3 linked regions of the Nothobranchius furzeri genome follow. Each later gene encodes a partner of the first gene's protein in a complex. Links are inferred from orthologs where the notes say so. Each region holds a gene or a part of one and is shown in the gene's direction. Other genes may lie near its edges.

The links.
Region 2: odad4 (region 1) and odad3 share a complex: the UniProt entries of both Homo sapiens proteins name them as parts of the outer dynein arm-docking complex. The link is inferred for Nothobranchius furzeri from reciprocal best matches to the Homo sapiens genes ODAD4 and ODAD3.
Region 3: odad4 (region 1) and clxn share a complex: the UniProt entries of both Homo sapiens proteins name them as parts of the outer dynein arm-docking complex. The link is inferred for Nothobranchius furzeri from reciprocal best matches to the Homo sapiens genes ODAD4 and CLXN.

The regions. Positions count from the first base shown.
Region 1 is NC_091745.1:16,041,481-16,045,803, reverse strand, and holds the start of odad4 (outer dynein arm-docking complex subunit 4), read left to right. Parts: upstream 1-1,521; 5' UTR 1,522-1,686; coding exon 1,687-1,800; intron 1,801-1,871; coding exon 1,872-2,003; intron 2,004-2,075; coding exon 2,076-2,226; intron 2,227-2,671; coding exon 2,672-2,712; intron 2,713-3,312; coding exon 3,313-3,415; intron 3,416-3,511; coding exon 3,512-3,700; intron 3,701-3,768; coding exon 3,769-3,976; intron 3,977-4,048; coding exon 4,049-4,135; intron 4,136-4,209; coding exon 4,210-4,323. UniProt on the Homo sapiens protein: Component of the outer dynein arm-docking complex (ODA-DC) that mediates outer dynein arms (ODA) binding onto the doublet microtubule. Plays an essential role for the assembly of ODA-DC and for the docking of ODA in ciliary axoneme.
Region 2 is NC_091746.1:25,114,302-25,117,841, reverse strand, and holds part of odad3 (coiled-coil domain-containing protein 151), read left to right. Parts: intron 1-479; coding exon 480-605; intron 606-693; coding exon 694-816; intron 817-952; coding exon 953-1,102; intron 1,103-1,204; coding exon 1,205-1,365; intron 1,366-1,488; coding exon 1,489-1,645; intron 1,646-1,713; coding exon 1,714-1,863; intron 1,864-3,540. UniProt on the Homo sapiens protein: Component of the outer dynein arm-docking complex (ODA-DC) that mediates outer dynein arms (ODA) binding onto the doublet microtubule. Involved in mediating assembly of both ODAs and their axonemal docking complex onto ciliary microtubules.
Region 3 is NC_091743.1:68,489,207-68,493,384, reverse strand, and holds clxn (calaxin), read left to right. Parts: upstream 1-1,361; 5' UTR 1,362-1,546; coding exon 1,547-1,619; intron 1,620-1,738; coding exon 1,739-1,897; intron 1,898-2,960; coding exon 2,961-3,065; intron 3,066-3,142; coding exon 3,143-3,294; intron 3,295-3,378; coding exon 3,379-3,483; intron 3,484-3,567; coding exon 3,568-3,615; 3' UTR 3,616-3,846; downstream 3,847-4,178. UniProt on the Homo sapiens protein: Component of the outer dynein arm-docking complex (ODA-DC) that mediates outer dynein arms (ODA) binding onto the doublet microtubule. Seems to regulate the assembly of both ODAs and their axonemal docking complex onto ciliary microtubules.

The DNA.
Region 1 (4,323 bases):
TCTTTTTTCATATTTTAATTTGCGTATGTATATTTATTGAAAGTTTGCCGTCATATGAAACCAATGTAAGATAAAGGTGTGTCTGAAAATGATCTGATATTGAGCCCTTTTTTTAAGTCAAATTGCAGGAAGAAGATTGATTTACTGGTTCATCATTACTGTTTTATGCTGCTTGTTTGCAGACTGATTCAGGGCACCCAATATCACTCAGATCTGTAGATGGACAAGAGAACAGGAGTAAGATCATAATGTTCTGTGTTGGCTGCTGCCTTGGTCAGCCGTGCTCTGTGGAAGGACGGAAACCTCGAAATTTTCAGTTACTTCCTGGTGAAGAAAAGAATTATGTCCTCATTTGCCCTCAGTTTTAGCCCCCACTATCTAAAACGTTCCAGCTGTGTCAATAAAGTTGGCCATCTCTGGTTTCCATGGTAAGTTTCTGTGTTTTTATTGACATTCCAATATGGTTTAAGACTATTAACAAATGGACAGGATAGTTGGTTCTGTAAAAAGCATGAAAGCTGGTAAAAAGAGTTGTGCGTGTGTGAAGCCACTAGCACATTTACAAACTGCGAGTTTGTCCCGAAATGGTTGTTTCGACTACAGCGAAACCAGTTTAAACCTGCATGTAGTGGCGTCCCCTAAGGGTGGCCATGGCCAATCCTAGAGAATTGGTGCGCGCCCCCCCCCCCCCCCCCCCCAAGATCTTTGTTAATAAATAATATCAACTCTTTAATTGCCAATGATGACTAAAGTCACATTTGCATTTTTTTTTACTGTGTGGGCGTCGTAACGAGCCCCCGCACCGTGAGAGCAAACATTTCAACTCTAAAGCTGATCTTCATCCGCGTACGTCATGCGTCACGTGATCAGGAAGCAGAACATCCATGTGTTAGGAGATCGTTTTGGGGCGCTGCTGTAAAAAAAAGTGAGGCACGAACCGGAAAAGCTTCTGCCGATCACAATTCAACAACGGATAATGAAAGAACGGATAACGCTCGAAAGGCGCAGATCTTTATGTAAGAGGTGAGTCTCCTCTTTGTTTTGTTAGTTTTGGCGCTGACATCATCCTGGCGCGCAACGTTCTGTGACTCTTAAATAAACCAAAAACGCTGAAAAATTCTGGCAGCGAAGGGCTTTTCTTGTCAGGAAAAAGCTGGCAGCGAATGAGTAAATGCTCACTCAAACCATAAATTAATTTTATTCAAGACATAAATGTAAAATCAAATTATACAATTAATGAGTAAAATCAGAATTTAAAAGATTGTTTCTGCTGCTCACCATAAAAAATAAGTTTATATCTCCATAGTTTTCGGTGAAGACAGCAATACCTAACCATTAAACCACAAAATGAAATTCTAAAATTTTGGAATAACATTTCAAATAACTGAAATGTTTGTGTTTCTCACATTTGAGTTGAATACATGTTTTTAATTAAGGGGGGGGGGGGGGGGGGGATAAAGAGCAATGCATCACCACAGGCTAAACATGATGCTACCCCAACATTTCCCTTGGCACATCTGGCCACCTTTATTTATCCGCGGTCATTTTCTGGGGGCGCCTCTGGACTGCGCATGCCCCTTATCTTCATTGCAGTCCGTCAGGCGTCGCGGTTGCTAGGTTACCATCCAGCGGAAGCTAAAGTTGCTGTGGACTGAGCTCGTCTTGGCAAACCTTTAGTGGGCTAAAATGTCAAAGGCATCTAACAAGAATCCTCAGGATTTGTTCCTGACTTTCTTGTCCGAAGGGAAGTGGATGTTCAACAAAGGAGAGTACCATCAAGCTGCTAACAGCTTCACGGCGGTGAGTGACGTTTACTAGCGTGGCGCTCGTTTGCTACTCTTGACTGAAACAACCCTAATCTGGTCGTTCAGGCGCTGAATTTGAGGCCAGGGGATAAGAAATGCCTCATCGGACGGGCTAAATGCTACATGAAGATGGGTAGGTTTGAAAACGTCTTCACAGATGTTGAAGAGACGCTCAAAGACGACAAGTCTTTCATAGAGGTGAGACAACTTTCTCCTTCGTGGTACTGTCCCCTGAGCTGAAACGCTGGATTTGTTCCTGCTTGTTTCCAGGGACTGTACCTGAAGGCAGAGGCTCTATATCACACGGGCAACGTTGAACAGGCGTTGGTGTTTCACAGCAGAGGACTGAAGCTCCAGCCTCATATGCAGAAGTTCAGGCTCGGCGCGCAGTGCGCACAGCAGGCGATAGAGGATACGGCTGGTGGGTCATCTGTGTGGAGGTGTTCTCTGGGCTCAGTGCAGATTGCATAATGATATAATAAAGGGAAAATAGCATTATTTTCCATATTTATTTTATTAAACTATTCATAATGATTTAAAAAGTCACTTTTTCCTACAAGTTTATTTATGACTGAACGACAAATCCAAATAATGTCAAATATTTTAAGAATCAAACTTACAAAGTTACATCTAAAAACTGAAATGTAAATAAAAATGGGATGTTTCAACACTAATTATTCATCCATCCAATTAACCCCCCCCCCCCACACACACACACACACACATGGATAAACATTCAACATTAGCATCAAAGGGACTCCGTTGTTTAGAGGTTCACCTCACCCAGCTTTTTTTATTAACCTGGTAAGAAATAACATTTTTTTTAAAATAAAAACTCTGAATTGTTTGATCTTCTCTGCCTACAGGATCTGAAAAAGACCTTTCCTTCCTGTATAAAGATGAGAGGGTGAGTTCTACATTTTCCTTATTCCCACACCAAATATATATATATATATATATATATATTACTGGTAGTTTTGTAGTTCTGTCTTTAGTTCTGGGTATTTTTCCTCTTGCTGAATTATGGTTGCTGTTGCTCAATATATTTCAATTATTAATATCATAATTACTTTTTTTTATCTCACTCTCATTTTTATTATTACATTACATTTATCTTCTTATTGTCATTTCTTTTCTTTTTTTTTTGAGAAGTAATGTAGTTGAGTAAATAGGCATAAAAGCTAGGCTTCAGCCTACACCTTTTTGGTTACTATAATTGAGATTCTGCATTACTGTGTTCTTTCTTTTTCCTTTTAAATGACCAAAATAAATAAATAAATAAAGTGAACTTAAAGTGCAAAAACCATGAAAAATCTAAACTATTTAGATGAAAGTCGACAATAAAATTCAGAAACCTGGCGTAAAAAGGCCGTGCTTCTTAGTGAACACGGGCCTTGTGCAGCACTGACTAACTGGTTTCTTTGCACATATAGAAACAGCCATAGCAGGTTTTCCTAAGAGCATTGTTAAACCCGTCATTCCTTCCTTTGCCTTTGTTCTGATCAAGAAGAAAAATAATCAGACTCCAAAGACTGACAAGACCAACAAAGCGCTTCTGGGAAAGTTTTACCATGACAAGAAATTCCTTGAGGATCTGATGAAAGATGAAGGTATTAAGCCTTTAATGAGACTCAACGTCGGTCCGCTGTGGCTTTTATTTCACTTTCGATGAATTGTTTATGTTGTGGTCATCTAATGCGCTGCAGAATTGGTTGGGAGTGAGACGATTCATGGCGAACGACTGCAGGACATCATTCAAGACTGCCTCACATCTCTTGATACTTGTGCTAAGTTGTGGAGTCTGGAGAAGCCCGTCGCCCCTCAGCAGCAGAAACGGCGTGGACCTTCTGAGCAGGCTCAGTTTGTGCTGAAAAGCCTGAATGAGATCGACAACGGTAGGACGCGCTCCTGTCGGCTCTCTGCTTTCATTTTTTATTTCTTAACCTTTCTTTTGTATCTTCAGAGCTGACTCGTGGTAATGCAGAGGCTAGTCTGAAGAAGGCAAAACGAGCCATGAGTGTGGTTCAAACTTGGACCACTGAGGACATTCCTAATAAATACGAGCTCCTGGGCAGCCTGCATAGCTACATTGGCAGAGCTTTCTTCATCCTGGGAGATATGGACGAAGCACTGGAGCACCATCGGACAGACCTCCAGTTGGCTGAGCGGTGGTGAGAATGCAGAAAAAATGAGCACAAAAGCATGATTTAGTCCAAATGCTGAGTTATCGTTTTCATCATCAGCAAACTTCCAGAAGCCACGTCCAGGGCTTTGAACAACATGGGTGTAACGTTGGCTCAGACCGGACAGTTTGCACAAGCCGTTGAGTTGTAAGTCAATCAAAGAATCTCCGTAAGCTTTCTGACCAGCCTTAAAACTCTGTTTCATGTTCTTTGTTCTCCAGCTGGGAACAGATGATTCCTTTGGTTGATGACGGGTTGGAAAAGGCCTGGTTGTTTCACAACATCGGCTCCAGCTCCCTGAACATGAAGCAGTATGAAGAAGCCAAACACTACGG
Region 2 (3,540 bases), on another chromosome or scaffold:
AAATGCACTAAAGTGTTAGCCTGGCAAGCCAGACTAAATAAATGTATTATTCTTTGCAAAGCAAGAATTTGGTCTAGTTCACCAGGCTACTAAAGTGCAAAACTATTGACTACACGTGTCTGCAGCACGATTAGACACGCATTTATATCGTTTATCAGGAAAAAAGTTGATTTGGGGGCGACTTGCTCTTTAAACAGTGTTCCAAAGAATCGAAAAGAAGTAATTGATCATATTTCGACAGGTAAATTATTCCAGTCCAGTGGGGCTTTAACACTAAAGGCAAGTCTTCCCATCTCTTTGAAACATGGGTACAACAAAAGAAACATGCTCATTAAATCTAGTGTTATTAAAACTAGTACACACCAAATACCTTTTAAATTCGATGGAAAATCAAAGAATATACATTTAAAAATAAAAATGAACCACTGAAATCTACGTCTACGATGTGCTGACCCAGAATTGGCATCCTTTTGCTGCAGGATGAGAGTCTGACCTTCCAGGGCCAGCTGGACAGCTTGGAAGCAGAAATCCTGAAGTACAGAAAGGAGCTTCACAGCCTGCAGGTCATGAGGGACGACGCTCAGCTCTCTGAAGAAGCTGCAAAGGTGATCAGCGTTTTCCCTCTCTTCGCTTTGCACAAGCATCCTGGTGAAGCTTTGCATGTCTCATTCTGTCCCCCTGTCTTTCCACCAGGCCGCGTTCCAGCAGCAGGACGAACTGCTGTCCAGAGAGCGTAAGGAGAGGGAGAGAGCAATAACAAGTTACAGGAAAATAGTTGAAGAGCACAAGGCAGAGACTGGAAAAACTGAAAGAAGTGTAAGATGATCGCTGCTTTTAGATGTCTAATTCTGTCCATGGTCTCATAAAATGTGGAATTCAGTAAGTTAGGATGGGATTCAGCTCTGACACTGGTTGTAAACACGTGCTGACATTTAAAACGGGTGGCCTGCAGGTGAAGAGAACACCTCTGCAGCCAGATGAGCTGAGCAGCGAGGCCCAGCACAGCACCACTAGGATCCCCGCTGAGGAGGAGAAGGCCTTTTCTGCTCTGGAGGAGGCCTTCGAACGCATCAAGGAGACCACCGGAGCCACGGACGTGCAGGTACCTGAGATCTGATCTTCAGTAGGGAGCAGATTTCACCTTCTTCTCATCTAAAAACACCTCACGCTGAAGCTGGGATCATTTCTCTGGTTGTTTGTTTAGGAGATAGTGAAGCGCTTCACCTCACAAAAGGAGATGCATGAACATCTGGAGAAGCTGAAGAAAGAGAACGAGGAGGCCCTGCTGCAGCTGAAGGAGCAGAGGGAGCTTCTGATCCAGCGGTTTGAAGAGGAGGAGTATTCTGGAGATGCTAAGCTGTCATGGTGAGACTCACGTTGACCCTATGAGAACCCTGACCAGCTGTTTTTGTTTCTCTGGTTGAAGGAACCCGTGTGTCCTAAGGGTTGTTTTAGACTCTCCTTTTTTTGTCTTTGTGCTTTCATTAGTGAGCAGCAGAAGCTGGAGGAGGCCGAGCTTCAGCTTCAGGCTCACCAGCAGAGGTGTGACTCTGCCAGGGAGCGGCTGGACTGGCTCACAACAACCCTCAGTACCGTTACAGCAGGAGTGGAGCACCTGGCAGAGAAACTGCAGCACATCACTCTGGTAAGACACCTGCTCACGCTCGCACACACAGCATACCTGCAGTCTTTCTGTCACCGTTCCCGTTCCAGAGCGCGGGCAGAGTTACTGCGCAGCAGCCAGACTCCGAGGAGGCTGTGCTGGAGCTTCTGGCCCAGTGCGAGCTACAGCTGCAGCTGCTGCAGAAGGAGTTTGAGGGGAAAGATCTGACTGCTATCATGAAGGAGATGGGAGAAGACGAGGTGAGAAAAAGCTTCAGTACACTCTAGCCATCACATCTGGAGCTCGACAGGATCGAACACAGATTTGACGAGCTGCTGTAAAGCAGATGTTTTGTTATTTAATAACCCCTCACATAACAATTATGACCCAGAAGATGCTTTACATTCATTTATTTCAAACTCTGTCATCACAGTTATACACCGTCTGGAGGTTAGGGACAATATTTAGGCATCAAAAGCTTTTTAGTTTCAGTTAGATCTCCAATCCAATCCAATCCAATTTTATTTATAAAGCGCATTCACAAGGCATTACAACCAAACAAGGCGCTGTACACTAAAAATGTTAGTTAATCAAACCGGCGGTATACAAACATGTCGAACACAGATAAAAGATAAAAAGGAAATACAACAAAATTCCCAAAAGCTAACAGCTAAAAATCAATAAGACACAGGGTGAATAAAAATTAGAAAAACATTTAAAAAAGAACCTCAATATAGTATGGAAGTTGATATTGTGAAGTCCATTTTTAAACAATGCAGATGTAAGTGAGGTTCATAATTATGTGGTATAAGCTAGGTTGAAGTAGTGAGTTTTCAGGCGTGATTTAAAAATGCTAGCTGTTGGTGCTAGCCTCACTAGCAGTGGTAATGCGTTCCACAGCTTCGGTGCACAGACAGAGAAAGCCCTTTCTCCACGGCTTTGTAAACGAGCATTCGGAACAGCTAGGAGGAGCTTATCTTCAGACCTGAGAGCATGCGGCGAGTTGTAGTAATGGACAAGTTCACACAGATATGGAGGAGCTTGATGGTTCAAGGATTTGTAAGTCAGAAGCATAATTTTGAAGTTTATCCTGAACTGCACGGGCAACCAGTGGAGAGATTTCAGAATTGGAGAAATGTGTTGTCTTCTGTCAGCTCCAGTCAGCAACCTAGCTGCTGAATTCTGGACCAGTTGAAGTCTAGAGAGAGCTGCTTTACTGATGCCGTATAAGCAGGAGTTAGAGTAATCCAGCCTAGAGGTGATGAAAGTGTGGACCACAGATTTCAGAAGACCGACACTCAGGATGTGCTTTAGTTTTGAGATGCGTCTTAGTTGGAAAAAACATGATTTAACTGTGTTATTGACCTGGACATCCATCTTCAGAGCCTGGTCCATTTTTACTCCAAGGTTGGAGATTACAGAGGATACATTAGGTGAGAGATAGTTGAGGTCAGGTTGATGAGTCACCGTGGTACTGTTAGGACTGAAAACGATTAAGTCAGTTTTGGAGTCATTGAGATGGAGGAAGTTATCAGCTAGCCATTGCTTGACCTCAAGGATACAATCAGACAGAACTTTCGTTGATTGAGTTGGCTTAAATGAAAAATAGATTTGACAGTCATCAGCGTAAAGATGGTATGAGACAGCGTGCTTTCTGAAAATGGCTCCTAAGGGCAGTATATAGAGGTTGAACAGTAACGGGCCGAGAATTGAACCTTGTGGGACACCCCAACGTAGAGGCTGTGACTCGGATGAACAGCCATCCAACATGACCCTAGCAGACCTGTTACAAAAGTATGACCTAAACCAGTGGTTCCCAAACTTATTTAGCCGTGCACCCCCTTCTATGTCCCGACCATATATATATATATATCAGATGTCAAGCTAAACAGAAAGGGTTAAAATAATTCCCCATCACTTTCATTTTTTAAATAGTA
Region 3 (4,178 bases), on another chromosome or scaffold:
ACACTTGTTCAAAGGCACATCTTGCTCTGCACCACAACCGGCCCTTGAGCCAAGATAGTTCATGCTTAACTGTGACAGAAACAAAAAGTCTCCCTCATCTGCTGACTTGTCACGAAGAGAAAGCACAGCTCTATGTCAGAAGATGTTTGCTGGAGCATCCTGCTGTGTCTTGTCTGAGGTACTGACCCAAACCCACACCTAACTGCAGCAGAAACAAGACAAAGGCAGTCTGTCTCGAAGAGGTTTGCAAACAGAAATGTTTTTGCCGATTGTTGCTGGAATACAGCCATTGAACATGACGTAGAGCCACACATTTCTCAGGGAGCATTTGCAGGCATTTGTGTGATTCACACACCAACGCTATCTTCAGCTTATCTGATCATGGCAGCCAGGGCAGAGAAGTCCAAACATCCTTCTCACCAGCCACACACACACTCACATATATATAGTGCTCAGCATAAATGAGTACACTCCTTATAAAAGTGTGAATTTAATCAGTAGCACTTTTTTGTTACTGCTGCCAGCCTTTTTATAGTCACCTGTCTGCTGGACACCTCTTAAATGAATCATTAGACTCACCTGTGATTTAATGCCTGTTAATTTAAATTTTGTACTCTTAAGTGTGGCTTTTCTCTGAAGACTATAATTGAGGTGCTCATTTTTGCAACATAGGCCTGAATGAATTTGTTAGGAAAATCACGTTTTTGTGTGAGCAAATGAACAAATCTTGTTTGCAATCAATGGCCCACATTACTTTGTGGTATGGTATCTCATAGAAAATTTTGATTCTGAAAGGAATCTAAAGGTTTTCTGACAAATGAACTTGGGGTACTCATTTATGCTGAACACTGTATGCACCATCGACGTATATACGGTATACACACACACACATGCACGCAACCAAACAGAAACCACAAAACAGCTAAAATATATTCTCTGCAAGACACTTAATGATTTTAATTCAGAGAAGTAAAAGTGAAAAAATAAAAAAGAAAGAGAACTTGAAAAGCATGAAACATAAAAAAGAAAAGAAAAAAAATCAAGAAGTTCTTGCAAATAAATAAATGATAACATAAGCTAAACTAATAATTTTCAAAGCAATAGAACTAAATGGTCCCCGGGTTATGTACCGGTAATTTGTGTTTTGCCATCTCTTGGGGGCGAGCCTACAGTTTTCTTGTTTGCATGTCTAATCCTGCAAACATTCTCCAGTTGTTGATTAAGAATTCTCTAATGCCTGCCTTTTATTCTATTTATTATGTTTTTATTTATTCTCATATGCTTTGTCATTAGTTTTATTTCCTTTTATTTGCTCAAGTGTGATTTTCTTTTGAATTACCTGCGAGACATCTCGGCCAGCTTATGTTTGCAATGATACTCGAACATTTTACCTGGTAAAATAAAGGACGTACAAACAACTGTGATTGTACGAGAGCTGCTGTGTTGATGTTACCATAGAAACGCTCCATCACCTCCATCACTATATATGTCGATGCATCACCTTTGTAGTTTATCTCGGAGCACGTGACGAACTCTCTCCTCCAACATGGACTTGACTGCTATGAACAAGAGAAGGATTCGTGAATTAGCAAAAACAATCACTGAAAAGGATAAACACTGTGAGTAGAACTTTTTTAAACTTCTTTTGACCCCGCTGTTTCGGTTTGTTGACGGAAGAAGCTAGTGGCAGCTAGCTAGCAGCTACACAACGTAAACAAGGATTATCTGTGTTTGCTAGTCAAGAAGAAGGAGACGGAGAGCCTGATCCTGGAGTTTTATGAGCTTCTAGGGCAGAAGGTTAAGCCGGGCACAGAGGAACACGGAGTGGACCGATTGAAGTTCAAAGTCTACCTCCACGACATGTTTAGGTTGTCCAAGGAGAAGATGACAGATGGAAGTAGGTATCATTCCAGAATGCAGTCCCTTTTCAAAAGGGATGCTGTCTATTTATCCTTAGACTGCCTTTTAATTATTCCCAACACATTTTTATTTGGTAAATGTTTTAATTGAAACTGGTCAGACATTTTATTTGAATGTTGAATTAGGTTATTATTAAATAGGATTGGACCCATTTGTTCTGTTAGGGTTAAAGTTATAATCTGAAAAGACCTTTGTGTTCAACTGACAGGTGTATGTGAGATTAACAGGACATTTTGACATTTCTGTGACATTTTTCCTTTTAGTTGATACTTGTAGCTCTTTGAACAGCCTCGGTTAGGAGAAACAGAGACCAGTTTTGATTCTACAAAGATCATTCTGACTGGGACCAGTTCCAATTTGTTTCTGCTGTCTTAAACAGTGGTGGCTGGTGAAATTTTATTTGTTTTTTTAGTAAGACACATTTTTGCAAGACAGTTTTCAGATGTGCTAACCACATGACTAGGGGACACCAAATTAGCATTCTTATGAGTCACACAACTTTTACCAAGTCCACGACTACTTTTGGCAACAAAGTTGTTCAATATTCACCAATATATGCAAACTGCACACTTTAAGCCATACTATGCACGTTTTTCATATGTGCTAACATGACCGTTTACAATGTTAATGAAATGTCATTCAGACCAACAGGTGAGTCATTTTTTTTGTTTGGAACTGTTCGACAGAAATCCTCCTCTAAAGATCTGAACTACTTTAAATTGAAAACTTGGCAATAATCTATAATGGATAAATAAATCTGATATATTTTGCAGCCTGTTTAAAACACATTTATCCTGAGACAATGGCTAACGCAAAACTTTATTGTAAAACAAACAGACAGACAAAAACCTGCTAAAGACACATTTATTGAAGTGACTTTGCAGCAGATGTTTTAACACGAATCAAATTGAAAACACAGAATTAAAAAGAGCAGGTTTTTTTATAACTGTTGGTAATTTTAACGAGTATTAGAAAATTTAACTCTTTAGTACTAAAGGGTAAGTATTTTTTAGAAAACTGTGTTTTTAGAGTGTTTTCAGTTTTCAGGGTTTTTGACAAAGACAGAGACGGCTTCCTCAGTTTGGAAGAGTGGCTGAAGGGAATGACAGTGTTTCTTCGTGGGACCTTGGAAGAAAAAATAAAGTGTAAGCTCCCCCCGTCTCTCTAACCCACGCCCACAAACTCAAATCTAGACTCACAGCCTGATTCTTTTTTCATTCAGATGCATTTTCTGTGTACGATCTGAACGAGGATGGGGAAATGAGCAGAGAGGAAATGTTCTACTTCCTGAAGGACACCCTCCCTGGACTGCCCCCAGAGGAGAACCTTGAGGAAGCAGTAAAATTTCTCGTGGAGATCCCGATGAAGAGGATGGTAAGAGATGTTCAACATCTGTTAGTTTCAACGTGCTCTCATTAGTTAGGAGCTAAAATAATTCTTGCATCCTCTCACCCACAGGACACTAATAAAGATGGACTCGTGTCTTTGGAGGAGTTTGAAGCAGCCGTAAAAAAGGAGAATTTGCTGCTTGAGGCCTTTGGACCCTGCCTTCCAGACACCATGGTGATCACAAGTTAGAGGCTGCTTACTGCTTCAGAATCAGCAACTTAAACTGTGTAATTTACAGTCTGCTTTCTTACCTTTCAGACAACCAGGAAGTTCCAACAGCGGGCTTTTCAGAAGCGCCTGGAATAACCTTCGTTCCTACACGAATTTAACCTTCTGATCTTATGATCAGAAGACATTCATTTAGTCATTTATTTAGTCTGGCTTGCCAGGCTAAGCTGTACCACCTTGAGTCACGTAAAACTGCGACTCAACTAATACACGTGACAGCCCCATCTAGTGGACAACTTTTGTTTCTGCGCATAGCCGCATACCTGTAGTTATCGTCCATTTATCGTTATCAAGGTGAAATCCTCAATATATCGTGATATTAATTTTAGGCCACATCGCCCAGCCCTAGTAGCAACCTAATTTTCATTTCTAGTTTTTAAAATGTTCATCTTTAGTTTTTTGTTTTAATAAATTTGTTAATGTTGTTTTACCTTAATTTGAACTACTACAATTTTTTCATGTTCTTGAGGTTCGACTAGTCTGAAATAGCCAACAACAACAGCAGAAATCTCACTAAATAAAACTTAGAGTATTTTAAGTATATTTCAAGAGTCTTTTTCAATCTGTAACCCCTGTTTGGGGTCACAGATTGTGGGGGTGGTTTGTACACTGATGAACCAACGTACAACTATTTAACATCA